Linked DNA regions of Elephas maximus indicus. The protein of the gene in region 3 purifies or fractionates together with the protein of the main gene of each other region. This does not show direct contact. Links are inferred from orthologs where the notes say so. Each region holds a gene or a part of one and is shown on either strand. Other genes may lie near its edges. The genes, in order: GLMN, CAND1, CUL2 and COPS7A.

What was found.
Region 1: the proteins of CUL2 (region 3) and GLMN purify together in Homo sapiens (co-immunoprecipitation; 4 studies listed by BioGRID and IntAct, counting the BioPlex papers as one, with this or other methods). This does not show direct contact. The link is inferred for Elephas maximus indicus from reciprocal best matches to the Homo sapiens genes CUL2 and GLMN.
Region 2: the proteins of CUL2 (region 3) and CAND1 purify together in Homo sapiens (affinity purification with western blotting; 7 studies listed by BioGRID and IntAct, with this or other methods). This does not show direct contact. The link is inferred for Elephas maximus indicus from reciprocal best matches to the Homo sapiens genes CUL2 and CAND1.
Region 4: the proteins of CUL2 (region 3) and COPS7A purify together in Homo sapiens (affinity purification with mass spectrometry; 3 studies listed by BioGRID and IntAct, with this or other methods). This does not show direct contact. The link is inferred for Elephas maximus indicus from reciprocal best matches to the Homo sapiens genes CUL2 and COPS7A.

What each region holds. Positions count from the first base shown.
Region 1 is NC_064821.1:149,944,912-149,952,623, forward strand, and holds the start of GLMN (glomulin), read left to right. Parts: upstream 1-4,633; 5' UTR 4,634-4,690; intron 4,691-4,697; exon of another isoform or gene 4,698-4,916; intron 4,917-5,329; exon of another isoform or gene 5,330-5,512; 5' UTR 5,513-5,610; coding exon 5,611-5,649; intron 5,650-6,026; coding exon 6,027-6,152; intron 6,153-7,712. Other genes in the region: putative RNA polymerase II subunit B1 CTD phosphatase RPAP2, read right to left, coding at 3,549-3,594, 4,471-4,543.
Region 2 is NC_064822.1:127,802,608-127,810,026, reverse strand, and holds the start of CAND1 (cullin-associated NEDD8-dissociated protein 1), read right to left. Parts: upstream 3,174-7,419; 5' UTR 2,766-3,173; coding exon 2,698-2,765; intron 1-2,697. UniProt on the Homo sapiens protein: Key assembly factor of SCF (SKP1-CUL1-F-box protein) E3 ubiquitin ligase complexes that promotes the exchange of the substrate-recognition F-box subunit in SCF complexes, thereby playing a key role in the cellular repertoire of SCF complexes.
Region 3 is NC_064822.1:9,106,188-9,113,779, forward strand, and holds the start of CUL2 (cullin-2), read right to left. Parts: upstream 3,181-7,592; 5' UTR 2,982-3,180; intron 2,937-2,981; exon of another isoform or gene 2,735-2,936; intron 1-2,734.
Region 4 is NC_064822.1:63,479,629-63,487,421, forward strand, and holds the start of COPS7A (COP9 signalosome complex subunit 7a), read left to right. Parts: upstream 1-4,438; 5' UTR 4,439-4,577; exon of another isoform or gene 4,578-4,660; intron 4,661-5,024; 5' UTR 5,025-5,067; coding exon 5,068-5,229; intron 5,230-6,775; coding exon 6,776-6,851; intron 6,852-7,089; coding exon 7,090-7,178; intron 7,179-7,793.

The DNA.
Region 1 (7,712 bases), on a different chromosome or scaffold from region 3:
TTTACTACTACGACTCCTACTACTGCTAATCCTACACAACAGACAGGTTATGATGCTGACTCAGAATTTAATATATTTCACTCCCCAGAGCTCAGGTTGAATAGTATCCTAGACTGAATGGTATCCTAAATTACTTTTATGTGTGGTCAATACATGAGATAATCCTAAAACATTCCAAGTACTCTGGGGTAAGACTTATCCTCCAGAATGAAATTAGAAAGAATTAAAGCATAATAGAAAAGTCACCTGTAGAAATGATCCATCTTAAGAAATGATGAACAAATAGGTAGCTATTTGGGAAGTACCGAGTCAGATCTATCTGAATTCACGTAACATCAGGTATACTCGGGGAAAAAAAAAAGAGTATCTGGATCTGAGGACTGAAACTTAAGACCTCTCGGACAGTTCTTGAGATATCTATAAATAGCAATCCTACGCCTCTGAGCCCCTTCTTCTCTAACTTAAACATTCCAACTTCTTCAAGCATTCCTTGTGGGTATGCTTTTTAATTGTAAAATAAAATACATAAAATTCCAAAGGTTATTATAAGGCGAACACCTTTGTAATTACTACCAAGGTCAAGACACAGACCTTTGTTAGCCAACCCAGAAACCTCTCCCTCTTCCCAGAAGTAATCAGTATTTTGATTCTTATTGTAATGATCATTTTGAGTTATTTTTATAATGGTATTATTTAAGTAATATCCCTAGACATTATAGTTTAGTCTTGTCTGTTTTCTTTAATTTGGTATGTCTTAATCTTTTAATCTACAGGTTCTCTCACCATCTTTTCCTTTTTTGTAACAATTTATCCATTGCAGAACCTGGGACATCTGACCTATAAAATCTGAATTTTGCTCATGGCATGCTTGCAGTGCCATTCAATATGTTCCCCTGCACTTCCTGCATACTAGCAGCTGGATTCAGAGCTTCATCAGACTCATGTTTTATTTCCTTGGTAAGACTGTAAGTGTTGTTGATTCTTTCATCCAGAAACTAACCAGTTGCCATTAAGTTGATTTTGACTCATGGCAACCCCACATGTGACCTTTCACTATCAGATTGCCAGGCTTTTCTTCTGAGGTGCCTCTAGGAGGGTTTGAACCTCCAACCTTTCAGTTAGGAGTTGAAAGATTAAGCATTTGTGCCACCCAGGGAGGTGGGAATTGTCAAATAGCAATTCTACCATTTCTTTTTCATTTTTTAGTTGCAATACATTTATAAAGAGCCGCTTCCCCTCAACAGCTATTTGGCTACCTCCATGGATTTTTAACTGTTTCATCATCCTGGGTTGTCTGCTCAAAATACATTTCAGCTCATCTATATTCCTCAAAAATGAACTATAATCTCAGGTTTGTGGTCAGATCAGTGTTGAGTAGAGTTGCAAACTATCACCATTAATTAAACTTTACTCTTGCAGTATTTCCTAAAGCCCAGCCAATAAAACCATGTTGTTCCACAGGGAAAAACCCCCCAAAACAGAGCTGAAACGCATCTACTTTCTTCAATTCCAGGTAACCACCATTTCTCACTTCTTAAAACTACTTTTAGAACCTAAATTCCATCATTTGTTACTTAATGTTTTCTCATTTGTACTTCCAACAAAGATCTGGATTACTCACCTACCAGCTACTATCTGAACAGGATCCTACGTCTCTCTAACCTTTTCCTATACGCCTTTCCTCCCTTGATCAGAATGCTGCACATCACTCTGGCCATCTCCTTTCTTTCTCTGTCTCTCTCTTTTTTTTTTTTTAATCTCTGCAGAACTTTTTTTTTTTTTTACTAAGACCAATAATAAGTAGCACAAAGTGAAAACACTATCCCTTCCAAAAAAATTCACATAAAAATTATGCATAAACCCATTAAAAAAACCAAACCCATTGCCGTCGAATAAATTCTGACTCGTAGTGACCCTACAGGACAGAGTAGAACTGCCCCATAGTTTCCAAGGAGCGCCTGGCGGATTCTAACTACCGGCCTTTTGGTTTGCAGCCATAGCACTTAACCACTACGCCACCAGCGTTTCCTAAATTATGCATAAGATTAGAATAATTCTAAATAAAAACCAATAGATCCACTCCTTCCTCTCTTGAGCCACTTTCGTAGTTTTACATTTCAACTTACAGACTTAATTTCTCTCACTTTTAAGAATGATTGAGAGCCCTGGTGGCACAGTGGTTAAAGTGGTCGACTGCTAATCAAAAGGTAGGCAGTTCAAAGCCACCCTCAGCTCCGAGGGAGAAAGATGTCGCAGTCTGCTTCCGCAGAGATTTACAGTCTTGGAAACGCTATGGGGTGGCTGTAAGTCAGAATCGACTCAATAGCAGTGGGTTTAAGGATGATTACTCAAATATGATTTGTGCCAGACGGGGTAAGTCAGCACAACATTGTCAATGAAAGCTAGGCCCTTGAGAACTAGGCTGGGGGGAACCTTGCAAACTCGCTGGCCCCAACACACATCAGGGTTTGTGTTCAACTCTTTGGTCCTCACAGACTCTCTGCAGGTGAGGAAGGCCTAAACCACATGACAGCAAACAATGTTTCCGCAAACCAAAGGATAACATGTCTCTTTTCTTTGAACTGGCCAACCTCTTTCTTGTTTCAGGGTCTTCACACATATTGTCACCTCTGGCTGTAAGTCATTCGTCACTAGTCTTTGTCTGGTTAACTCCTACTTAGCCTTCAGGTCTCAGTGTAATTATTACTTCTTCAGAGAAGCCTTTCCCTGAACCCCACAGCTACTCTCCCCTCCAGCTCCCAGCTAAAATGTACTCCCATTATTAGTTCTTCCTCATAACATCATAGCCTTTTCCTTTATAACACTTCTCACAATTTGTAAGTATACAATTTATAAGTATACCTTGTGATAATTTAATTGGTGTCTCTCTATTCCACTAAACAAGAACTATGTATGGTAGGTCTACCCTGTTCAACATCATATCCTCAGGGCCTAACACAGATCTGACATATTTTACACTTGGTAGATAATTTTTGAATGAATGAATAAATTAAGACTAAAGCCAATACAAGATCAGTGAGCCTTCATAAAGTGAGAAATTCTAGATATATATTTTAATCCTCTTCATAGGCTATGCATATTCTAGAAACCTTCTGAGACAGGTGATAATATTTTGCTTTTTTAGGAGAAGCCAAGAGACAGTACAAGACAACTTTTTGATGAAAATCTGGAATGGATGTAAACAAAGAACAGAAAAGGCTTCTTGGAGTGACAAAATGAGAAGGTTGCACAGTAAGTCTCTGGCATAGCAGTAATGAGTGAGTGTACCTGAAGAGGTGGAAAAGGAGTACCAGGTTAATACAGGCATGTTTATTGTCACAGACTTCTTTCTACAGATACTCATTAGCAGCCTAGAAATCTCTGGTTTGGTTTGAAACAGTCACTGTGAGAATTTATAGTGCTTCCCAGACTTCTACCTTCCCTCTCACAGTAACTTTCTCTAAGGTAGTACCCATTACGGTTTCAAAAAACGGTTCAATTAATATGAGATAGATAAATGAATGCAGTTCTCCAAGAAGTTCTCGTACCTCTTGGAAGCATCTTCTTGTTTGGAGGCACTTGTGTGTTTGGTACCTACGATTAAAAAAAAAAAAAAAAAGTAGGTCAAGTCTGCACAAAGACATTAGGCACAGGACAGATTCCTGTCCAAATAACTCAAACCGCAGGCCATCTTTTCCACACATTTCATTTCTAATCCTGTACGTAAACCAAAATCAAATGGGAAGAGAATCCAACTTACTTTTGTAAATTAATTATTCCCTAATTTTTCTTGGTTAAAATGTTATCTCTTTTGATTTCTCATGTATCAGAGTTGCAGGAGTCCTGGTGGGACAACCGTTAAGCGCTTGGCTGTTAACCTTGACAGTTCGAACCCACCCAGCCTCTCCATGGGTGAATTTGCTTCCGTAAAGATTACAGCCAAGAATACCCTATGGAGGCAGTTCTATTTTGTCAAAAGGGGCGGAAATCGACTTGAGGGCACCCAACAACATCAGAACAGCTTACTTACGCCCTTCTGAAAATCTGAGTTTTGGAGCAACCTTTTCCTGTCTCCTTCCTGTTGGCCCTCTGGCGGGGGAAAAGGGTCGGGATTGACACCTCAGAGAATCAGGGCACCACAGCAGCCGCACTTCTGTAGCACACTGGGCCGGGGTCCGAAGTCTGCTGCGCACGGCTTGCCGTCGCTGCCCTGGGCACTTGCCCACCTCTGAGGCTGGGGTCAAACCACGACGGGAAAAATCTTGGCACACTCCTGTAAAAGGGTCGGAGTCTGCCCGGGAGATCTTGCCCAGAAGGTGCAAAGGCGAGGGTGGGGAGCTCTACGGTCTCCCCATAGGAGACCCTCTCCCCTGGGTCAGTCTTCCGGGAGCTCCCCGCGCGCCTTGGTGTGGAACTCTGCCGGAGCTCAGGTATTAGGGCCCAAACGTGGCAAAAGACCCTTGTTCCTACCTGCGGCCTTACGGGAGGCGCCGGGAGCCCGGGCCTTGCGGCCGGGAGACAGCTGCCCGGCCCAGTCAGCCATGGAAATGCGTCGTCAGAGCGGAGAGCGGGCGTCGGCGTCTCTCCCCGAGGCCCCGCCTCTCTCACGTAGGCGGGGCGGGGCCGGGGGAGTAGGCTGCGCGGCCTGCGGAGTGGAGGAGGGGACTGAGAGCGGCCGGAGGCTGGGCGGGTGAGTGGACGCGCGGGGGGAGCCCGGGTCGCTGGGCCCGCGGGTGGGTAGTGAGGGCGTAGGGCCCGGCGCCGCGGGCAGACCGGGCCCGCCAGGTGATGGGGGCCGAACGCCAAGGACAGCAGGAATCGGGAGAAATGGCTTCCCTTGGATGCCACCAGCACGCGCGCAGCGGTTTAATCCGCCCTCCAGCGCGCCGCTGTGAGGACCCCGCAGACCCGCGCCGGTAGTGCAGGGCTGGGGCCGGGCCTTCCGGCTGGGAAAAACGATGGTCGATGAGACCGGTTCTTCCGGGGACCGCCGGTGGCCTGGTCTCCAAGTAATAAAGTGATTACAGTGACCAAATTGATTATCTTGGCGACTGCAACTCTTAGAGAGCAATGTCACCGCCAACCCTTGGGCTGGAGGGCATCTGAAGTTTCACCCCATTTGAATGAGTTAAATGTGTTGCTCTCAAATTTTTGTCAGGTGGGACATTAAAAAAAAAAATTCCTAAATGATTATAACTTGGATTTCAGGCCCATCTTTTGGGAATTTTTTCAAAAAAGACAATTTCACTTTATTTAAAAAATCCTTTATAGAGTTCATATTTGCCCTATCTCTTAAGAGTGCTCTAGAGGAGTTTTTTTCCTCTTTCAAAATAATACTCCTAGAAAACTTAAAAATACAACAGAAAGAAAAGCAACATCTTTTAAAAAAATTTTTTTTTAATTTTCTTAAAGCTAACACATTAACTTTCAGTAATAACATTTTTAGCTTTGAAACGTTCCATTTTTTAAATTGTGTGTGCTAATATTATTTTTTTTTTTAATAATGCAACAGAATAGAACAGCTTCCGAATACTGCAGTGTAATGCCACTGTTAACAGTGTGTTTTGTGTTAGTACGTTTCAGCATCAAAACTAGGGGAAAAAACTAGAAATGGCTGTGGAGGAGCTTCAGTCCATAATAAAAAGATGTGTAAGTAATTTTTTCTTTTTAATTACATTTGAGGTCACTCATTGTTTATTTTCTGTAATTCTTGCTTTTATTGACCTGTGAATAAATAGCATGAGGGCTGGAAGGCAAATTGAATTATGTCTCCAAGTGACATACTTATCTAAATAATCTTAATTTTAATGCTGATCCTTTTCATAGATTTCTTTGGTAAAGTAGATTTCGAGATCATTCATTGGGAATATTTACTGGGATCATCCTGATTTTCGTGCATATACTTAATGTGCAACCCATCTGGAATTCAAACAGGTTTCTCTTTTTTCACAGAGATAAAATAAATCAAGTAGTTATTGTATTGAGTTTTTATTTCTGTATGTGTTTTTTTTTTTTTTTTTTGCCAGCAAATCCTAGAAGAACAGGACTTTAAAGAAGAAGATTTTGGCCTATTTCAGTTAGCAGGGCAAAGGTGCATAGATGAAGGGCATATAGACCAGCTATTAGAAATTATCCAGAATGAAAAGAATAAGGTAAGTACTATTTTTGTGTGTACTTTTCATTTTTACTGGGAAGAGAAAACCACATGATGATATTATCTATTTATTTATTTATTTATCAAATGTGTAAGTATCAACTAAGAGCAAAGTATAGTAGAAACTATGGAAGACAAAAAAGGAATTAGGCATATTCATATGTTTTAAGGTCCTTGCAGTCTGGTAGAAGAGGTAAATACTAAACTACTAGCAATAAAGAGGCAGAATAAATGAAATAAGTGCTATAGTAGAAGTAGAAGTAAAACTCTTCAGTAGGAACGAGGATTGCTTGTGGTCTAGAGGAACTAAGAATGGCATTTAAATCATGAATTTACGTAATACAAGTCTCACGCAGGTTAGACACCCATTTTTGGTGACCAGCAAATTATCTTGATTGAGCCAAATGTGTGTGGAAAACCAGATTTTAAGCAAAGCAATATTTTGTATACGTGCATAGAATCTGAAGGAGCCCTGGTGGCGCAGTGGTGAGGGCTTAGCTGTTAACCAACCAGCTGCTCTGCGGGAGAAAGATGTGACAGCCTGCTTCTGTAAAGATGACAGCCTTGGAAACTACGGAGTAGTTCTACTCTGTCCTATAGAGTCAGCGTGAGTCAGAATCGACTCAACAGCAACGAGTTTGATGTAGAATATCATCCAGCTGTGATAGTCTGAGAAATCATTCTTTACAGTGGAAATGGGTCTTGTTTGTGGATCAGGGACAATTGATGTAGAATATCATCCAGCTGTGATAGTCTGAGAAATCATTCTTTACAGTGGAAATGGGTCTCGTTTGTGGATCAGGGACGACTTTTTCCTGGGACACAGTGTTAGAGACACACTGCCAAATTTGTGTCTTTGTACTCCCCTTCTTATGAGTACAAGGCCCCTGAGGAGTGCAAATGGATTGTGCTTGACTCCTAACCTAAAGGTTGGCAGTTTGAACCCATCCAATGGTACCATGGAAGAAAGGCCTGGTGATTTGCTTCTGTAAAGAAATTGCAGCCAAGAAAACTCTGTAGAATAGTTCTGTTCTGTAACACGTGGGGTCACCCTGATAGGACTCAACTCAGTGACAGTGGGTTTGGGATTTTTTTGTTGTTGTTCATATGAATACAGGGAAGACCATCTTCTTCCTAGGAACATGCTCTTTCTTTCATTTATAATACTGTTTATTTATACAAAAGTTTTCTTTTTTGATACCCCAATCTAGTCGTGCTAACCTGTGATTATATCCAAGGCATCTTAATTGGATTTGGGGACCTCATAAAGCTTTGTAATCGCATATTGTTGTAGAATCTCTTATTCAGCAGTTCAGAGGGCAGCCCTTGCTTTTTTCTTTTTTAGCAAAAATAGGATATTTTATTTAATATATTTGCTTTTGATCTGTGTTTATGGCACCTTTGTAACCCCAAATAAAGTAAATTTTGTGGTTTTTACCCTTCTTGGTTTTATTTCTTGAGTATTTACTATATGTCAAATGTCTTTTTAAGTGCTTTGCATCTGTTAACCCATTAGCCTCTCCAGAATCTAAATTCGCTTTGTAGATGAGGAAACGAA
Region 2 (7,419 bases), about 120 Mb from region 3:
TTTCAGAAGCAGATCACCAGGACTTTCTTGCCAGGCATTTCTGGGTGGATTCAAGTCTCCAACCTTTTGGTTAGCACAATGCACAAGCACAATGCACCTGTCAGGTACTCCATAATGTTAATCACCCCTCATCATCAAGATTTCAGACATAAAGTATTTTAACACTCACAGGGGACAAAATCATGTTACTGGCACCTAAATAATTAAAACTTAAAAAGATGTATTTAATAAATATCTGTGCTGAAAATATATGGAAAAATCTTCAATATACTTGACTTCAAATGCACACCATTTCGACTAATCCTTTTTTTTTTTTTTTAATCCTTAAATGTCTATAATTTAAAAAACACTGCACTTTAGTCCGAAGACCTGGCTGTTAAGTGGATGGCTAGAGTGTACTACAAATATGTCTTTACAGTAACGTTTGTAAAAATACCTTAATGATGCGAAATTACTAGAGGCCTTTTACTGTTTCTATATATATTTTCTATAATATTCACCATTCTCAGAAATATCTGTATCAATATTATAACTCTGTGGGAATAACCAATCATCTAAGCAACGTTTTGATTCATTAAAACCCAAGTTGGTAGATAATCCTTATAAAGTTCAGCACTGACTACAGATAGCTTCAGAGCAATAGTATTTCTTACATCCGGTTTATAGAAAAAAACAAATGTGTGTTTTTCCTTTACTACAATAAGTTTAAAAATAAAGTTTATTTAAGGAAACTTCACAGTCAATCATCACATATGCAATATCGTCACATCCAGTGTTTCCTTTAGTCTTCCTAAACATATTACCTATACACTATTCTGAATATTTGAATAAAATTGTACCACTACAGTGGGTTTTTGGGTTGGGTCACTATAGGGAAAGGGCTACCTTTACGCTGAAATTGAACACAATCAGAATGGAATTTAGCACTTATATCAAAAGCTAATTGCTATCGAGTCAATTCTGACTCATAGATACAGGACGAACCAAACAGACAGAAAGAAAAATCACACCACACACCTTATGCAGGTTAAAGTTATGTATATTCAAATATTTATATCAAATCTCAATGTAAGCAAGCAAAGCTCCAAAGAGAATCAAACAGCATTTTAATACTTTTTTTTCTTTCATTTCTCCCAATTAATCTTGGCCCTAGAACTACACAAATCTGAAATTCTAAAATATGCAAAATAAACATGTCACTTCCAAAGTCCCAACACTGAAATCTTTAGTATTTCCAAACTGGGTTTTAAAAGTTTCAAATACAATACTTAAAAACTCCTTAGATAGCAAAACTTTTTTTTAAAAAATCTTATTTGGTTTTGAAGTCACAGAACCAAACTCTACTGGCAGTTTTAATACACCACTATATGGCACAGAACCCGGCAGTGTTTTGTTCTGTCGTGCATAAGGTCGCTATGAGTCCGAACCGACTGGCTGGTACCTAACAACGACAACAATATGTTAATTTAATTAGGAAAACAACCATTAACTTTACTAATGGCTCTCTATTAACAAACTGAGCAGTTTCTTCCTGGTCAATATGGTTTCACACGTTTCAGGTGTACAGTTGCCAGAAAAAAGTATGCTCTTCGGCCACAATTTTAATTGGAGACTTTGTTCGTGCTTTTAAAATGCACACGAATTATGACCACTACAAAACTTCGGAGAAGAAAACCTAAGTACAATGAAATGAAAAGCTTTTTTAGATTGAGAGCTTATCTGTGAGGAGATGGAAGGCAGACACTTAACAATAACTGTAGTGCAAGAAAGAAACCAAGGCAATTCGTGAAAACATAATTCTTCAATACTCATGTTATCAAGAATTTGGAACCGACAGTTCAAATCCCCCGGAACTTAACCTCTACGAAACAGCTTCATTAACCACCAGTCCCAGGTTAGAAAACCCCTTCTTTCAACAAGAATATTTGCTCGGTTGACTTTTCCGTTTCACGTTCAGCGATTCACTCCTCTGGCAGTGATTTTGGATACAAGGACTTGAGACTGAAAACCCGAGTTCCTGCTTGGCTTTAACCTGCCAAGCGAAACTGACAGAGATGCTGGCGGGAAAACCGTAGCAGCCAAGTTTCCTCCATCCTGGCTCCCCCTCCCCCTTCTTCCCACCTTCACCAGGAGAATAATACAAAGAAAAAGTCTATAACCCAACCCGCGAAAAGCTCCAAAAAAGTTAACAGTTTAAGCAGAAGCCAGCCAGGCCCTCTCACGCCCCCGCAGAAGGCGCCTGGTGGATCCCCGAGTGGGCAGCAGGTTCGGCCCCAGCTAGCAAAAGAGGCCTAGCGCCTCGGGCGGGCCGGCGGGTAGGCCCCGCTGTCCGGTCTCCAGGCCTAGAGCAACCCCCTTCCCCACAGTCGTAGGTGTTTTCGCCCTTCGCGCTACCTGGGTCGCGAGGATCACGTCCCGGACGCCGGGAATGTGGTGGGGGCGTTTGGGGACGCAGAAGGAAGGGCCCAAGGCCGGTGGCGGGCAACGGCCTAAAGAAAAGAATGGGAGGATCGGAAGGTGGGGAGGAAAAGGGGCCTGAGGGGATCAGGGAGCTGTGAGGTGGGCTGGAGACCTTGGGGAAGCAAGGAAACCAGTTACGGCCGAAGAGGTGGGGCAAGGCCAACGATGAGGGCCAGGGCCGCAGACGGGGGGGGGGGGGGGTCCAGATGCAGGTTTAGGGAAGGATCTCAGCCTCACCTGAAGTCCTTGTCGCTGGATGTCATTTTCTCCAGCAAATTGGAAATATGGTACGAGGCGCTCGCCATGTTGACGGCCACGATCCCGCCCGCTGGCGCTGCAGCTGCTGCCCGCCGCCGCTGCTGGGGCTCCTCTTCTCGCTTGCGGCGGCTCCCGCTTCCAGGATCGCAGCGCGACGCCGACGCTGACTAGGGAGGCGCCTCGACCGGCAGCCCCCTCCCCGGCGAGGCGAGGGCCCGTCCCGGGGGAAGCAAAGGCTACGGTGCCGGCCTAACGACGGCTCTGCTCGCGGGAGAACGAGCTCATGGGCTGCAGAGCAGTACAGCAGGGCCTCACCGATGAGCCAAGCACTTTCACTCTGGCCGGTCTCGCTCCCACTCCCTCCGCACTCGCTCCTTAGGGCAAGTGGCCAAAACCCGCCTCCTTCACTACGAGGGCGGGGGTGGCAGGCGCGGGACGCTACCGAGAGCCGGGGTCAAGGTTCACTAAGATCTCCCCACGCACGCTTTAGAGCTGCTAGTTAAAGAGCAATCCTGTTGGCTGATACCGATGTCAGTCTTCGCGTGAACGGCCTTTCAGGAGGCATGACAGCGACTAAAAGGAGCTGTTCTCGCGAGACTATAAGGCGACGGTTAAAGGACGGCAGGCGAATGGGACAAGAGGGCCGTAATCTGAAAATACTTGAGAATTTTTTCTATATAGCATTAAGAGAATAAGTTTACGATTTTTAATGACTGTAACGCCTGGGACTAATGCTAATTAAGGGGCTAGCCTAGGACCAACAGAAGAATTATTAGAGGAAGCTTTCCTTTCGAATCGGACGCCCGGCCTACATTGTCTTAACCACCGTGGTGTAGTGTTGCCACGTGAAAACCACAAATCCCAGAATTCAGTAGGAGAGGCACACTGGCTCAGGATGTGATTGGCTGCAGGAACTTGTAGCTTCCTTATTGGCTCCCATGGGAGAACTGAATGTTGGGATTTGCAGGCTAGGGAGGCAGTACCGCTGGATAAAACCTTAGGATTAGCGTGGGGTGTGTTTCTGCTGCGGATTGGGATTTCCTGTAGTGGACGTATTTGTTGTTAAGGGATGTTTGCAGAGCGAAACTGCTCCGGTTTGGGCAGGCGCATTACGGATCCATGGACTTCGGAGTTCTTGGCAGAGGCCTAGTAGCGACATCTAGTACTAATCCGAGTGTGACCGTAGCCTCATTCCTTCTCTCCGTAGAGCCACCTTTCTGAGGCAAGCAGGACCTTAGAAGACTGATGGGCTAACTACAAATAATTGTATTCGGAGCCTATTCAGAACAGCTAAAAGACCATCTTCTGTAGTCAATTTTTGTTGACTTCATAATCCTGCAGTTGTGTATTTTCTTGTTCATTCGGACAAACACAGTCATCAAGGTTAGATATGAAATCTTCTGTTTTACTATCCAAGTTTTTATCTGCTCAACATTTGGGATTTTTACATGAATTTTGTCAACTGGGCGTCAACACCTAAAAATTTGATGTGGGTCTGAGGTAGGTGGGATTAGAGCAAGCTGACAGACCTTTCTAAAAGAAAATAGCCCAGTGAAGAGGAAAAAAAAATCTCATTCAGCTACTCCTGTTAAAAACAAAACAAAAAATCCTTTCAATAGGCTTGTACTTCCATGTACGTCAAACCAGATAAAACCAACCTGACGTTTCTTTACTGTTCTTTGATGCTTTCACCAGATACTGAATGTCTTCTAAAAAGCCAAGCACTGAATCGACTCGAGGGCACTGGGTTTGTTATTAAAAAAAAAAAAAAAATTTTTTTTTTTTTTTTAACAATGTTAAAACAGATGAAGCATGATCTGGCATCATAGTACAATACCTAAATTTTCCCTCATTACTGTTATCTACTCCCGTGTACCGTTATACTTTAATATTATTTTCCTCCCCATTCATGCCATGTCTCTTTCCTTATTTCACCCAATTCGGCCATCATGAGGGCCTATTTCGTCAAATTTACGTAATCGCTGCAGCCACATTTCCCTTCAGCTCTGAACAGCCTTTCCACAATTTATAATATAAACTGCACACACAAACTACACACACACATCACATACACAACCTAGCAGGTCATTTTTTTCTTCTTGTGGACCCCATCGCTTGCAATGCCAGTTATCTGGTGGTAACCCTTTCCTATAGCCTGTATCCAATCAGACACCAAGACATGTTTGTCTTTTGTGTGTGTGTATAAATCCTTTCATTTATCAGTTTCCAGCTGAACTATAATATTTGGAGGTAGATAGCTTGAATATAAATCGTGTTTTTGCACCTTACTAGCCATCTTAGGCAATCCACTTTAATCACTGAGCCTCAGTTTCTTCATGGGTAAAACAATGACCATCAGAGGTCGTTTTGAGACTTCAATAAAATACTTCATATAAAGAGCTTAGCGAATTGCCTGGAACATAAAAATGAAACTTATAACTAATATTTCTTGCACACTTACAAAGGTCCAGGAAAGTGTCTAATGAAAGTTAGCTATTATATTCTCTCAGCCTTTTATTTGTCCTTATTTCCAAACCAGGAAACCCGGGTGGCATAGTGGTTAAGTGCTGTGGCTGCTAACCAAAGGGTCAGCAGTTCAAATCCACCAGGTGCTCCTTGGAAACTCTGTGGGGCAGTTCTACTCTGTCCTATAGGGTCACTATGAGTCGGAATCAACTCGACAGCCCTGGGTTTGGTTTTTTTATTTCCAAACCATTCTACGCAGCGAGTATAAACCAAAACCAAAAACCAAACCCATCAATTCGACTCGAAGACAATATAGAGTTGTCTAAAACATTGTTTTTATAGTACCTGCTTAAAACGGTCATCGACTCTCTACTACAGAATAAAGGCAAAATGTTTTGGCAATCAGTGATTTCCTTCATCTGACCCTAACCTTTTGACATTTCTTCCACTGTTCTAATACAGGAATTGCTCCCACTAATGTATTTTTGAATCCCTCAAAGACCCAACTCCAAGTCTTTGTACATAATAATAATAATTGTTTATGGACCAGCAGTGTATTAACTCATTTAATCCTCATAAAAGCCCATGAGATTGGTATTACCCACGCTTTAAGTACGAGAGATACAAAGATATTCAGTAACTTGCTAAAAGTCACCAACAAGGTGCAGTCAGGATTCAAACCCAGGCAGTTTGCTTCAGAGCCCATACTCCAAACCACTAGACTAGAATGTTTCTCCTGGTCTGGAGTCTTGAGTCTAGAATCCCCCTTTCTAGGGTCTTGAACTAATGATAGTGTTTGTATGTTAGCCTCCAACTAGAGTATAAGTTCAGTAAGAGCATGTACCATCTTTAAAACACTGCTGCTTCATTCAAGTACTTTGTTGTTAGCTACCAACTCTGACTCATGGTGACCTTATATGAATCACAGCTAAATGTTGCCAGGTCCTACATCATCCTCACAATCATCAGCATATTTGAATCAATCATTGTGGCTATTGTGCCAATTCATCTCAGTGAGGGACTCTCATGCCCTTATTGGCCCTCTACTTTACCAAACATGATGACTTCCTCTAACAATCAATCCCTCTTGATGTTGTGTCCAAAGTAAGGGAGTCAGACAATGTTCAGTTGTGATCCATAAGGTTTTCATTGGCTAATTTTCAGAGGTAGATCACCAAGTCTTTCTCCTTAGTCTTTCTTACTGTGGGAGCTCCGCTGACATCTGTTCACCATGGGTGACTATGCTGGTATTTGAAATAGCAACATGCAAGCCACCACAGTACAACAAAGTGATGGATAGGTGGTGTTTTAAGTACTTAACCAGGGCCAAATTCACAATAAGGAGCCTGGGGGCACAACTGTTAAGCACTTGGCTGCTAACTGAAAACTCGGCAGTTGTAACCCGCCAGCTGTTCCTTGTGAGAAAGATGCGGCGGTCTGCTCCCATAAGGGTTACAGTCTTGGAAACCCTACGAGGCAGTTCCACTCTGCCCTTTAGGGTCAATATGAGTCAGAATTGACTCGCTAGCACACATCAACAACAACAAATTCATGATAAGCACTCAATAGAACTTAATTTCATTTTGTATTCTCAACTACTTGGAGATTTAGTTTGTGTATTTTAGCATATTACCAAACACAGAGGAAAAAAGCTTTTGTTTAAGTATGTTTTAATGCTGAATTAATTTTAGCTGCAAAGGGAAATTAGTCCAGATAAGGATAACCTCAAAGAGTTCTCCTCCCATTCAATGGCCACAATAGAGAGTTGAGGTTAGAAGTTTCAGAGGATCAGAAAAATGGAGTTCTCGAAGCTGTTGAGAGGCCTTTCCAATATTAACCAGTAGTACAACTGTACACACAGTAGTACAACCAGTAACACAACAAATGTTCACGAACATTTATGGAGTGCCTACACTGTGCCAAGAACTATACTGGGGATACAAAGATGAACAAAACATGTTCCTCAACCTTGTCATCATCATTCGTTAGCTGCCATCGACTCACTTCCAATTCAGAGTGGTCCTATGTACAATAGAACTTAACACTGCCTAGTCCCGCACCATCCTCACAATTGTTGTTATGTCTAAGCCACTGTGTCAATCCATCTCCTTGAGAGTCTTCCTCTTTTTCACTGACCTTCTACTTTACCACGCATGATGTCCTTCTCCAGGTATTGGTCCCTCCTGATAACATGTCCAAAGTATGTGAGGCGAAGTCTCACCATTGTTATTTCTC
Region 3 (7,592 bases):
AAAAGAAACAGTGAAAACTTCTGCACAAATTCTCACAAAAGGTAACAGCTCTTTAAAAAACTCCACATCTGAAGGTCAAAAACTCAAAGACCAAGTTAGAAAAAGTCAGTGCCCCAGGGCCTTCTCTCTTGCTACATTCTTTCTTTAGGTAATCTTCTGTTTCATAACTCTTAAGTACTACGTAAAACCTTAAAAAATACAAGGTGTCAAAGCAGGTAAAATATACCATCATTTTTGCAAAGTGGAAAAAAGAATATCTACATATTTGCTTATATGTGCACAAAATATATCTTTGGAAGGATACATAAGAAATGGCTAACATTGTTTGGAAACAAAGGAAAATTAAGTGAAGGGACAAGAAGTGCAGGGAGGCTTTTAATTCTGTACCCTCTGGGCATTTTAAATTTTGAACCACGTAAATATAGTTTCTCTTCAAAACATAAATAAACAGATAAACACTGGTAACTCCCATCTCTGCCTTTTTCTCCCTATTAGAATTTAAGTTCCATGAAGGCAGAGATTTCTGTCTTTTTTTTCACTACTATATTCACACTGCCTGGTCCACAGCTGTGGCTTAAAAAATATTTGTTGAATAAATGAAGGACTCCTTAACCTCTCCACTTAATTCCAGATTTGTATATCCAACTGCCTGCTTTCCACCTCCACTTGAATCTCTCATGGATCCAACTTAACAAGTCCAGTCCAGCCGTACGGCCATCCCCTCATCTTCTCCCCATCTCAATACACAGCATGACCATTTTCTAGCTGCCGAAGCCAAAGAGAAGTTACCTCCTCCAAACCAAATGCACTCTCATCCAATCTATGACAAGTTCAATAAATATATCTCCAACACCAAGAAGATCTACCTCAAACCTTTTTACTTAACACTTCACAGCCACTCCTGTATTTAAATCTGCCACAGCCTTCAAGCTGGTCTTGCAGTTTCTCTTCTACTTTTATCCAATCTTCCCTACAGCCAGAACAACCTTTCTAAGTTGTAAATGAAACCGTACCACTCCCAGCTTTAAAAAACAAGAATGATAATTCCATTAGCTTTCAATGTACTTTAAAAATAAAAGCAAATCTTCTTCAGACAATAAGACCTCATATGATCTGGCCCCTGGCTATGATCTAATCTGTTATCACTTACTAGAGTCCACCTTCACTGAGGTTCTTTCAATTCAAGGGACTCATGCTCTATACCACCTTTTACATTTGTTGTTCCCTCAGACAAGAACACTCTTCCCTCAAAACTTCTCACATTTCAGGCCTCAGGTCAAAGACGTCTCAGAGGTCTTCTCCCTATCACTATTACAACTCTATTTTATTTCCTTCATAGCAGTTATCATTCTCTGAAATTATTTTCATTTCATATTTATTGCCTGTCTCTTCCTTTCCCCACCAGAATTAAAGCACCAAGAGGGCAGAAATCTCACGTGTCTTATTTATTTTATCCCTAATGCTCGCAACATTACTTGGCACACAAACCGGATGCTTAATAAATATTTGTTAGTTGGTAGACAGGGTAGAACTGACTTTTAAAAAGGTTCACAACATTCAATTTAGTGACATGCTGGTGAGGAGAAAAGACATAGATAATCTTCATATATATAAGACATTGCAAATCAGCAAAGAGGGTGGAGAGTGAACATTCAAATATTAAAAAGATTAGTAGAAAAAGTATTCTTCACATACAAAGTGCATGCGCACTGTGGAAATGTTCCCCAAACTCATAAACAGCATCTTAAAAGGTATAACGCAAAGCACTGCATACATGTTATTTCATCTGTGACTCTGATGGCAGAGCCTTCCAAACGATGCATTTGGGCAAACGTGTTCATGTCTCTGTCTTGGAAAGTAAGGTGAGATTCCAAAGAGTAGGCATGAGTCTCTGAATGTTTTTAATGCGTTCTGTAGTCAGGAGACGTTACAGAAAAACAAACTTGATTGTTTTCCAAATTTTACTATGAATGTATATGAATGTAGGTTTGGGACAGATCTAGTTCAAATGTTTTTATATTGGAAAGTCAAAAGAGTCTATAGTAATGTTAATAGTTTCTATATTATTCTTTTCAAACTTTAAACTTCCAGGGTACTGAGCCTTCAACTTGTTAAGAGTAACCCGTGGGTCAAAGGGGAGGATTTAAGGATAAGAGCGTGGAATTCACTGAAGTCTCATTTGCATGCGCGCTTTTGTGGGGCAGTGGGGAATGTGTGCAAGAGCTCCAAAGAGAGCGAGGATCTTATTTCACTAAACCCTAAATGTTGAGACAGAAGGTCCAACCTGCACGTAGGGTATTCTCCCCAAAGCAATTAATCTTTGCTGTCTGTGGAAACAAAAGTAAAAACACTCGTAGTAAGGATGCATGAGATGGATGCGCCCCCTCCCACCCAAACGCCGAGCTGTGTGCCCGCGTGACACATTAATAATCAAAGGAGAACACGCACTCCCACCTTCCCTCCTTCGGAGGAAAATGGGGCCGAGGGAGGGGCGGCCAAGGCCGGCCTGGGGAGGCCCGGGATCCAGTCCCGGGGATGACTGGGCGTAGGGGCCAGCGCCCTGGGGCGCCGGGTCCGCGTCCAGGACGCGTCCTCCCCGGCCGCCCCTCCATCACCCACCTTCCCCTCCCGTCGCCCCCAACTCCTCTTCCCCGCCCCATCCCCGCCGCCCATTCGCCGGGAAAGGAAGTTTCCAGGCGCCTGCAGCCCAGTCCCCGGGCCGCAGCGGTGCTACCTTCTGCAGAAGCAGGACGAGGGCCCCGGGCGGAGGGAGGGGGAGCCAGCGCGGAGGAGGGAAGGACGAAGGCCCGGGCGATGGCGATGGCGGCGGCGGCGGCGGCTGTCAGCTCGCGTTCGCCTGCTCACAGCGCTGCCATTACTGTGCGGCAGAGGCCGCCTCCCCGCTCGGCCGCCGCCACCGGCGCAGCAGGCGCGGGGGAGACGGGCCACGAAGCCCGGGAGCCCGCGCGCTGGACACTCACCCACGCCCGCGCGGGAAAGCAGCACAGCCCGAGCTCGCCCCGGCCTCGATCGCGGAAGGAGCGGGGCGGGGAGACGGGGCCCGGAGGGCCGGGTACGGGTTTTAAGCCCTGGTCCTCCGGACCGTCCGGGTTTGCCCCACACACGCCCGCCGGCTCTCCCTCTTCCGCCGCTTCCCGAGCTCCCCCCCAGGAGGGGATGGTAGAGTCCACGATACGGCAAGCGCGAAGCACCTGCCTTAGTGCAAATGCGAACGGCCACGGCGAGGGCTGGGAGCGAGTCTCCGCGGGGCCGGCTGGCTGAGGGGCCCGCCCGGTTCCGAGCTCGGGCGACGCAGAGCTCACCAAGTTCTGAGACTGCTCGTAAAAATACGGCAGAGGGCTGTTCTCAATGACAGCCGTCTCCTTTGAGTCGTTTTACGCCTCAATGGATATCTTAAAATACCTCAGTCTCTTTGCTGCCGCCCACTTCAGGCTTATCGAGTCATCAAAAACATATTAGCAAAACTCCTTTTCTCTCCGACGTAGTCCTTTTCTAGTGGGCTTCAGTCTATCGACACATCGAGGGGCATAACTGTGTTTTCAATGAAGGAAATTCTTTTCATAGCCCTGATCACCGACTCCCCGCCTTCTTTCCCTCCCTATCCGTCTGAAGGGTTTTTCTAAGATTTTTAAAAGGGAGTGTAGACAAAACACAGGTTTATCGAAGACCGACTCCTGCCTCCCTTCCCTCCCTATCCATCTGAAGGGTTTTTCTAAGAATTTTAAATGGAAGTGTTGACAAAATACAGGTTGATCTATCATCTTAAATATATAGTACCCCAGGGAACAACAAAAAAAACACCTCGTTGATAGCGACCCTACAGGACAGAGTAAAACTGCCCCTAGGTTTCCAAGGAGCAGCTAGTGGATTCGAACTGCTGAACTTTTGGTTAGCAGCCGAGCCCGGCTTTATTCCACAAGAGCTTCTCGTATATGGTTCGTTTGAACGTTTTGCGCAAGCCTTTCCTTCCCAAGCTTCTTTCTTCCACGCTGTTTTCTTGTTGTTAGGTGCCCTGAAGTGGAATCCAACTCCTAGCGATCTTACGTACAACAGAACGAAACGCTGCTGGGTTCTGCGCCATCCTTACAATCACTGCTGTTTGAGCCCATTAATTGCAGCCACTTTGTTCATACGTCTTGTAGAGGGTCTTCCTCTTTTTCCATGACCCTGTGCTTTACCAAGCATGATGTTCTTCTCCAGGGACTAGTCCCTCCTGACAACATGTCCAAAATACTTAAGATGAAGTCTCCCTGTCCTTGCTTCTAAGTAGCAGTCCGGCTGTATTTCTTCCAAGACAGATTTGTTCATTCTTCTGACAGTCCACGATACATTTAACTTTTTTTGCCAACACCATAATTCAAAAGCATCAATTCTTCTTTGGTCTCCCTTATTCATTGTCCATTTTTACCATGCATGTGAAAGGATTGCAAATATCGTGGATTGGGTCAGGCACACCTTAGTCCTCAAAGAGACATCTTTGCTTTCTAACACTTTAAAGAAATTTGGTGCAGTACATTTGCTCAAACCAATGTGTCCTTTGATTTTTTCACTGCTGCTGTCATGGGTGTTGTTTGTGGATCCAAGTAAAATGAAATCCTGACAACTTCAATATTTTCTCTGTTTATGATTTATCATAATATTGGTTATTGGTCCAGTTCTGAGGATTTTTGTTTTCTTTATGTAGTTTTTGATCTTCATCAGTAGGTTCTTCTAGTCCTCTTCACTTTCAGCAAGCAAGGTTGTGTCACCTGCATATTGCAGGTTAGTCTTCCTCCAATGGTGATGCCCCATTCTTTTTCATATAGCCCAGCTTCTCAGATTATTTGTTCAGCATGCAGATTGAATAAGTATGGTGAAAGGATACAACACTGTTGCACATCTTTCCTGATTTTAAACCACGCAATATCCCTTGTTCTATTCCAACATCTGCCTCTTGGTCTATGTACAGGTGTCATGCGTTGAATTATGTCCCCCCAAAAATATGCGTTTCAATTTGTCTGGGCCATGATTCTTGGTATTATGAGACTTTCCTATATGTTGTAAATCCTGCCTCTATGATGTTAATGAGGATGGATGGGCGGCAGTTGTGTTAGTGAGGCAGGACTCAATCTACAAGATTGTATTGTGTCTTGAGGCAATCTCCTGAGATAAAAAAGAGAGACACAGCAGAGGGAAGGGAGGACCTCATACCACCAAGAAAGCTGCACCAGGAGCAAAGCATGTCCTTTGGACCCAGGGGTCCCTGTGCCTGAGAAGCTCCTCCACCAGGGGAAGATTAAGGACAAGGAACTTCTCCAGAGCTGGCAAAGAGAGAAAGCCTTCCCCCGGAACTGACACCATGAATTTGGACTTGTAACCTACTAGACTGTGAAAGAATAAGTTTGTCTTTGTTAAAGCCATCCACTTGTGGTATTTTGGTTATAGCAGCACTAGATAACTAAGACAACAGGTTTCTTATGAACACAGTTGAGTGTTCTGGAATTTCCATTCTTCACAATGTTATCCATCATTTGTTATGATCCACAGAGCAGAATACCTTTGCAAGGTCAATAAAACACAGGTAAACATCTTTCTGGTATTCTCTACTTTCAGCCAAGATCCATCTGACATTAGCAGTGATATCCCTTGTTCCATGTCCTCTTATGAATCCAGCTTGAATTTCTGGCACTCCCCTGTTTATGTACTGCTACAACTGTTTTTGAATTATCTTCAGCAAGATTTTATTTGCTTAGGACATTAATGATATTGTTCAATAATTTCTGCACTCTGTTCAATCACCTTTCTTTGTAATGGGCATAAATATGCATCTCTTCTACTCAGTTGGCCAGGTAGCTGTCTTCCAAATTTCTTGGCATAGAGGAGTTAGCACTTCCAGCATTACATTCATTTGTTGAAACATCTCAACTGGTATTCCATCACTTCCTACAGCCTTGTTTTCACCAAAGCCTTCAGTGCAGCTTGGGCTTCTTCCTTCAATATCATCAGTTCTAGATCATATAAAAAAAAAAAAAAAAACTTAACCTTCTAAATGGATGAAAGTAGACCAATTCTCTTTTGTATAGTGACTCTGTGTATTCCTTCCATCCTCTTTTGATGCTTCCTGAGTTGTTTAATATTTTACTCACAGAATCTTTCAATATTGCAACTTGGGACTTGGATTTTTTCTTCAGTTCTTTCACCTTGAGAAATGACAAGCATGTTTTTCCCTTTTGGTTTTCTAACTCCAGGCCTTTGCACGTTTCATTGGCTTCTCAAGCCACCCTTTGATATCTGCTGTCCAGCTCTTTTACTTGGTTCTTTCTTCCACTCACTTTAGCTACTCTATGTTCAAGAGCAAGTTTTAGAGTTTCTTCTAACATTCGCTTTGGTCTTTTCTTTCTTTCCTGTCTTTTTAATGACTTTTTACTTTCTTCATATATGATGTCCTTGATGTCGTTCCACAACTCGTCTGGTCTTCTGTCATTAATGTTCACTGCATCGAATCTATTTCTACCACTCCTTAAAGGCCTATTATAAATCCTGTTTCCTTATCTGATAAATCCTGTTAATCTTCCTCCTCTTCTAATCCGCTTCTCCTGATACTTGAGCGCTGTACTCTTTATTTTAACTTAGCAATTTGTTTCCATTATATGACCTTTTCTCACATGCTCATCCTCTTCTAAATCAGTGGTTCTCAAAGTGTGATCTGGAGACCCTCTGGAAGTCACTGAGACCTTTTCAAAGATCCTTGAGGTAAAAACCATTTTCCAATCATATAGCGTGTTCTCTGTCTTTTAATACTGGGTTTAACATGAGCACTGATAGTGCAAAAACTATGATAATACTGCTGGCACCTTAGCAGGAATTAGGATGGTGACAAAAAAACTGTCTTAATCGTCACTGGACCCTTGTATTCTTCACTACTACACACTCTCAGTTTTTAAAAAAGAATATTGACTTAGGAATATCCTTGATGATGTAGCAAAAAGTATTAATTTTATTAAATTTTGACCCTTGAGTACATGTCTTTTTAATATTCTGTGCGAATAAATGGAAAGTACACATGCACTTGCGATGTGTACCAAAGTATAATGGTTGTCTTGAAGAGCACTTTTGTGATTGGGAGTGAGCTGAACTAGCTGCTTTTTTCCATGAAACACATTTTTAAGGAGCCCTGGTGGTGCAGTGGTTAAGCACTAGGATGCTAACTAAAAGGTCCATGGTTCAAACCCCCCCCTCCAGATATGGCAGTCTGCTTCCATAAAGATTACAGCCTTAGAAAACCTATGGGGCAGTTCTACTCTGTCTTATGAGGTCACATTTAGTAGGAATTGACTCAGCAGCAATAGGTATGATGAAATATGTCTACATATAAAAGATCTGCATGACAGACTAAACTAATATTTTCTAAATGACCAATGCATGATATTCCAAAATCATGCATGCATAAAGATCCATTAGAAGTAGAAGATACACCAAAGCAATTTTTCAGAAACCAAACCCATTGCTGTCAAATTGATTCCTACTCTCAGTGGCCCTGTAGGACAAAGTAGAACTATTCTCATAGAGTTTCCAAAGAGCGGCTGGTGGAT
Region 4 (7,793 bases), about 54 Mb from region 3:
TGGATACTATTCAGTTCCATTGGTCAACTTTTTAAAACCTACACTTGTAATACATTTAAAAGCTTAAATTCTATAGCTTTCAAATAAATCTAAATATCTCTTAGAACAAACACTGCCCTACCAATATACTCTTCTTTAGAGGAGTTATTTTTTTCCATACAGATACCCTATCATCGTAGTGTAATTTATTGAAATGTATGTCCTCTCTCTCCTCGCACCTCTGTCATAATCAAGTGTCTATATATGTGTGAGTCTGTTTCTGGGCTCTATGTTACATTTCAGTGATCGATTTATCTATCCTTGTGCCAATACTACACTATCTTCATTATTATGGTCATGTCCTTCTACCTAGTAAAGCAAGTCTTCCCACCTTGTTCGTCTTCTTCAAGATGCCTTTTGTATATCTATGTAAATTTTATAATCAATTTATCAGTTGCACACATCCACAAAAAAAAGCCTGTTGGGATTTTGAGTGGGATTGTACAGAATCTATAAATCACTTTGGGGGGGATTGACTTCCTTCATGGTATTCAGTTTTCCAATCTATGAATATGATCTATATCTAGATTTATTTTAGGTCTTCTTCACCTTCTCACAATAAATAATTTATAATTTTCTGCATACAGCTCTTATATTTCGTTACATTTATACCTTTGTATTTGATATTGATACAATTGCAAGTGGTAACTCTAAAAATTATTCATCATCAACTGTTATATATAGAAATAGGACTGTCATATATTGATATTTTTATCTTTCAATCTTGCCAAACTCTTGTTAATCCTAGTAATTCATTTCTGGATTATTTTAAATTTTCTATATGTACTATCACATTATCTATTAATAATAAGTTTTGTTCCTTTTGTACCCATTCATTTTATCTTTTATTCCTTTTCCTTATTTCTCTGGCTAGGATCCTCATTACAATATGAACTAGAAGTGGTGATGTGTCTTTTCCTTTACCTGTTTAAGGAAGCTCCCTTCTAGTTTTCTAAAAGATTTTATCACAAACACATGTTGACTTCGTTACATGCTTTTCTGTGTTTTTTAAGATTATATTGTTTATTCCTTTAATCTGTTAATATGGCAAATAAAATGAATGTATTTTCTAATACTAAACCACCCTTAAATTCCTGGGATAAATTCAAGTTAGTTTTGTGTCTTATCTTTTTTGCACAATGCTGGATTTGCCTTGCGAGTATTTTATTGAAGATTTTGTTATCTCTGTTCATGAGTGAGAGTGACCTGTAATTTTATTTCTAGTACTGTCTTTTTCTGGTTTTGTTATTAAAAGTAATTCTGATCCCGTAGAATGAGTTGAAGAGTGTTCTTTCTTTTTCTATTTTCAGGAAAAGTTTATATAAAATTTAAGATGATCTGTACTTTGAAAGTCTGGCACAACTTCCCTGTGTGAAGTCATTCTTTCTTGACTCTTCACACTTCATATCTAATCATCTGCAAATTCTGTTCAGTCTATCTTCATTTTAAATCCAAAATCCAATAGGCAAATGTATATAGAGACAAAAGTTTATTAATGGTTACCAGGGGTGGGAGGGAAGGCGAGAGGAGAACCATTGTTTGGGAAGCAGTAAGTTTCTTTTTATGGTGATGGGAAATTTGGCACCGATTAAGGGTGATGGTTGCACAAGATTAATGTAATTGATATCGCTAAGTTGTACACCTGAAAAATGTTGAACTGGCAAGTGTTGTATTATATATACTTACAACAATGAAGCAAAATTCAACCATTTCTCCCCATCTCCCCCACTACCACCTTGGTCCAAACCACCACCCTCTCTTGCCTGGATTGTTGCAGTAACCTCCAAATTGGCCCTGCTGTTTCTGTCCATGCAGCCATCATATTTTAAACATGTGGGTCAGATTATGTCACCCCTCAGTTCAAATCTTCCATTGGCTGCCCATCTCATTCAGAGGAAGTGCCAAAGTCCATACAGTGGCCCACAGAGCCTGACATGATCTGGCCACTCTGCTCTGTCTGATCCCATCCCCTACTTCTCTCCTTGCTCACTCAGTTCTAGCCACACAGGTCCCCCTGCTGTTTGTCAAACACACCAAGCATGTTCCAACCCCAGGGCCTTTCCACTTGTAACTGCGTGGAACGCCTTCCCCACAAAATCCACGTGACTTGTTCCCTCACATTTTTCAGGTCTCTGCTCTAGTGTCACCATATTAAAGAGGCCTTTCCTGAGTAGCTTATATAAAATAGCAAATCTCTTCTGCATTTCCCATCCCCCTTACCTCATTCTTATTTTTCCTCATAATATTTATCACCCCCTGACCATTCTATGGAAACCCTGGTAGCATAGTGTTTAAGAGCTACGGCTGCTAACCAAAATATCGGCAGTTCGAGTGGGCACTCCTTGGAAACCATATGGGGCAGTTCTACTCTGTCCTATAGGGTCGCTACGAGACGGAACTGACTGGACAGCAACAGGTTTGTTTTTTAGTTTGGGACCATTATATATCTTATTTATGGCCTGCATCCCACCACAAGAATGTAAATACCAAGACGGAAGGATTTTGTCTATGTCCCCAGTGACTAGGACAATGTGTGGCAATAAGAGATGCTCAATATATATTTTTGAATCAACAATGAATATTTTATTATGTGTGTGACTCCTTGGATGTCAGTCAGCTTTTCTAGCTTTAATTCAGTCATCTTGTTCTCTATCATTAGCATTGCCAACACAGCACCTGGCACATGGCCTTGAACATAACTGTCACTTAATAATGAATGAATACTACATCCTGGGGTTTGTGTAAGTTTACTTAGCTCCCATTCTCCCCTTGGAGAGCTTCTTTTTCTTCTGTCACCTCCTCTTTCCCCATTTCTATTCATTTATCTTGTCTTTATCACCTCTACTCCTTTTCCTGTTCTCTCTGCTGTTTTAAACCTCACTTCTTTAGTCCAGCCCTCTCTCATTTCTTTCTCCACATTCACCTCTTGTTCTACTTAGTAACTGTTCCTCATTTTCTTTTCTCCTTGTTCTTGTCTTTCTCTCATAGAGCTGTAAAACATCAGAATCAAAATTAGCCTTAGAGATTCTGTCATATAATCTCTCACTTCGCAGGTACAGAAGAGATCACAAGGTGGCATGATGCTTTGCTTTAAGGCCCCAGCTAGCTTAAGTCTGAATCAGGACTGTATCTCAGGTTGTCCATTTCCTCCTCTCTTCTCTTTTCCTCTCTGCTTTTCTTTCCTCCGTTTCTTAACATAGTCTTAGAATCAGACAGACTCGCATTTGGATCTTAGCTCTACCACTTACTGGTGATCTTTAAGAAATTATTTGTTCCTTAATGATCCAGTGTCCTCACAGGTAAAGTGAGATATTAATAGGCACCTTAAATGCTTTCTGTAAAGACACAGCGTCTTTTTTAAAAAATCGATCCAAAAAACACCTGGTATATAATAGAACAAATGTTGGTTCTTTTCTCCTATAGTTTTAAAGTGATAAGATTGGGCTCATTAAATTCTTTGGTCCCTTCAGACTTTGCATATTTTATTATGCCTTTTATTCCTTCTCGACTTTGTTTCATCTCATCCACTCACTACCACTACTTCTCCTAAAGAAATCTCAGGGTTTTTTTTTTCCCCCTAAAGTATCAAGGTGAAGTGGAAAGACAGCTTTGGATTTGAAAAGACCTGGGTTCCAGGCAAATCCCTGAATTTTTCTGAAGCTCAACTTCCTTATCTGTAAAATGAGAATAACAACATATGCCTCTCTTCCACGTAGGGCCCCCCCCTCCAGGAATTAAGAGTCAACGTATGGAAAGCGTCACTCTCCAAGCACATGTTGTACTCAGGGCAGAGGGGGTCCCGGAGTCTGACTGAGAAGGCAGTAGTTTTAAGAATTCAACAGAATAAAAAATTTAAAAGATGCTCAAACAAAAATAAGCACTCAATACATGTTAGCTATTTTTTTTTTTTTTATTATTTCCTTTCCCTTTTCTACTTCTTTTCCCCTGTTCCTCAAAAAATTAGTGGTTGAACGACCCAGGTGATCTCTGCCGCTCACCTTCTATTATTATTGTCCCCCTTCCTCTTTCATCCTGCCGTTTTTTGTTTTTTCTTCTTTCGTTCTCCCTCTTTCCTTCCACTACAGCTTCCCTCTTGCTCTAGGCACAAGCTGCACCCTGGGTCTCCAGGCCTCCGACAGCTTAGAGCTGACACACAGCCCGACACTCAAAGGGATCGAAGGTTGTCTACCTTTAGCATCCACCGCCCTTTCACCAATAGTTTTATCGAAACAGTGGAAAAAAAAAAAAGGCACAAGTCATTCTTCTCCCTGCAACGAATCAGAGAGTAGGATGCCTGCGTCCCTCACTGGAGCTTCAATGGTCGGAAAGCAGGGCCCAGCATGTCCCGCCCGAAACCTGCCCCTAGGAGCGGAAGTACGGTCGGAAACCGTCCATAGAGTTTAGTAGCTAGAGCGACCCTGGGAGGAGAGGTGGCAGGAAAGGCTCGGAACAGCTGCCGGAGGTGACGGAGCCGCGGCCCCGCCCGGTGCGCTGGAAGACGAAGCTTCCAGGTAGCGGCCCACAGACTCTGACCGAGGGTAGGACGGGCAGTCGTCCGGACCCTACGATTCCAGGGAGGCCTCTTTAAGGAGGGGCGGAGCCACGCGTAAGGGGCGTGGGGGTAAGGTCACGTGGTTGGGGGCACAAGGGGCGAATCGAGGGATCTTCGTTGGTGGGGTGGACACCATGTGACACTCCTTTCCCCTTTGCACCTGTGCCTTGGGGTTCAATGGGATGCACGTGGTGAGGCTTGGGGTTAGCGCCCAGGGGTCGGGGGAGAAGGTAGGTGTGGCATTCCTGTCTCATTCGTGTTCCCATCGAAACGACCAGCTTTAGGATTCCTAGATCCCCGTTCTAACCACTCTATCTCTTGAGTCCTCATTGTAGAAGCGACTCAGTGCCTCTGCAGTTCAGCCCTACCCCCATGATCTTCCCATCCTGCCAGCGTTCAGAGACCTCCAGCTTCACAACGTCTTTCCTTGCAGCTCCAGACATCCTGAGCCCAGCTGCCTCCAACTCAGTGCAGCCATGAGTGGGGAGGTGAAGGTGACAGGGCAGAACCAGGAGCAGTTTCTGCTTCTGGCCAAGTCGGCCAAGGGGGCAGCACTGGCCACACTCATCCACCAGGTGCTGGAGGCCCCTGGTGTCTATGTCTTTGGGGAACTGCTGGATATGCCCAACGTTAGAGAGGTGGGTTCCTGGCCTGGATAGCTCTTAGTGAAGCTTGGGGCTAAAGTTTGAATTTGAGAATGGGTGGGTAATGCTCATTTTGCAGCTATGTAACCATTCAGTTGAATACGAATATGATGATGATGGCAGCTTGCAAAAGTAAGCAAGCAGGTAAACTTCTAAGCTTCCCTTGTGAGATGAAGGATTTGTAAAATCCAGTATTTTTGACTTTTAAGCAAAAGAGCACGTGACTCATAACAGGAGACCTGAGTTCCAGCCTGTCTCCACCAATGTAGTATCTCTTAGTAAACATATCGCTTTGATCAGGTCACTTTTATTTTCTTTCTTGAAAATGGAGATGATATTGATGATATTGCCTTCCTTACCGTTAATGTGGGAATCAAGTGAGATTATGGGAAAGCATAAAGCCTGGTACAGATGGGAGGAGTGAACATACTAAATTAGTATGCCCTGTTCTCCCTCCTTTGCACCATGTGCTGTTCATTTGAGGTAGGTAACGTAGAAGGTGTCTTTTCTCCCAAAGATATCGCAAGTTGCTACTAATACAGTGGGAAAGTTAAGAGTTTAAAAAGAGTGAGTGTTGCCAAGATACATGACACTGTTCAAGTCCTAAGATGCTATGACAGTGGACCAACTGAAGCAAGTTTTTGAAGGCCTGTGATTGAGTCAATGGATTTAGCCTTTTAGGATCACTCTGTGGTACAGAGAAAACTCTTACCTTCTTTCCCTGCTTTCCTCTGCAGTGGAAGAAGTATTTATTGAGTGCCTGTTTAACACTCTGCTAGTCATCTGGGAACACCAGAAAAGTACAAAACATAGTGCTTACCCTTCTGAAGCTTACATTCCAGGTGAAGAGATAGGATGAATGGATATAAGTCTCTAAGCCACTCATTTAGCAAGTATTTATTGAAAGATGCAACTACATGCATAGCTCCGCTAGATCCTGAGCGGAATACCAGAGATTGGGCCTATAATCTTGTTGACAAGAAAGGTATTGCTAGGTAACAAGCTTAGGTGGAGGTTGATTGATGAAGTACCAGTGGTAGGAGGAGAGGACATCTGAGTGGGCTGGACTGGGTGATGTAAGCCTCCCAGGTGAGGTGGGTCTGAAGCAGAGGCCACAAATTCACATGCCTGCCTCAGCCATGTAGCTGTCAGGATGAGTGAGGCTCAGGCAGGAATCTTGATTAGAAATATGAAGCATACTCAGAGGGCCAGACAACACAATTTGCAATGTCTGCTGTGTGTCCTTCAGGTAGTGGGCACTCAATATTTTTAGCCATGAATTTAGGGTAGGAATTGAATAGCAGATGGAGGAAGAGGGCGTTGTGGATTGGGGAAATAGCAAAAAGGCCTGGGGGTGGAAACAAGCCCTTCCTAAGGGGAATGTGTTCAGAGAGACAGAGAGTTCCTTTTGGTGAATGAGAGAGCTAGCATTAGAGCAGGAAGAGAGGACTAGAAAACGGAGTTTAAAACAGGGTAAGGCCGAGACGGTGGAGAGGGAGGCCCTTCCTGTCACTTCTTCTCTTCTCTCCTATTCTTGCAGCTGGCCGAGAGTGACTTTGCCTCCACATTTCGGCTGCTTACGGTGTTTGCTTATGGGACATACGCTGACTATCTAGGTAACCAGAGGGATGGACTGGAGCTCTAGAGTGGTGGAGATGGGAGAAGGGCAATTTCTGGAGGAATTTAGTTGGAAGAAATTCCTGGGGTACTTCATTTGGTTGGATCTCCTAGGTGTATTGGGCCAGGTCAAGACCTGGATTGACATAGAAAACTCAAAAAAAAAGTAAGGGATGGGGGTTAGGGCTTCCTACAGACTGAAATCAGGATTCCCTATACTTTATCCTTTTTTTTCAGCTGAAGCCCGAAATCTTCCCCCACTCACAGAGGCCCAGAAGAATAAACTTCGACACCTATCAGTTGTCACGCTGGCTGCCAAAGTCAAGGTAAGTGGCAGTTCCCCAGCCCAGAGCCAAAGAGGTCTAGAGCATTCTGGATGTTCCTCTGTAAGGGCTCATAGTCAGGGAGTTAGCATTGGGACAGCTTCGACCCAACTATTGCTTCTTCCTGCCCCTCCCCCTGAGGTCTGTATCTAAACTCTCTTACCTGCAGCTTTTTAGGCTGAATGAGTTTTTGTTACTCTCTTGGAAACCCTGGTGGGGTAGTGGTTAAGTGCTATGGCTGCTAACCAAAAGGTCAGCAGTTCAGATCCACCAGGCGCTCCTTGGAAACTCTATGGGGGCAGTTCTACTCTGTCCTATACGGTTGCTATGCGTTGGAATCGACTCAACAGCAATGGGTTTGGTTTGGTTACTCTCTTAGTTTTTTGTTTTATTTTTCAGTCGGCTTAAGTCCTAAGTAAAATGTCATTTGTGTTTTTGGTCACAAGAGCAGCTAGGGTGTTCACCATGTTCATCAATTACCCTCTTTCCACAATGTAAAAGTCCTATGTAAACAAAGCCTTAGAGATGGGAACAGGGCTCGCTCTTCTGATGAAGTGCTAGGCTTCTTTGTTAGAATGAGAAATATCTATATTAGAGGTATCTCTATACCCCTTGTAG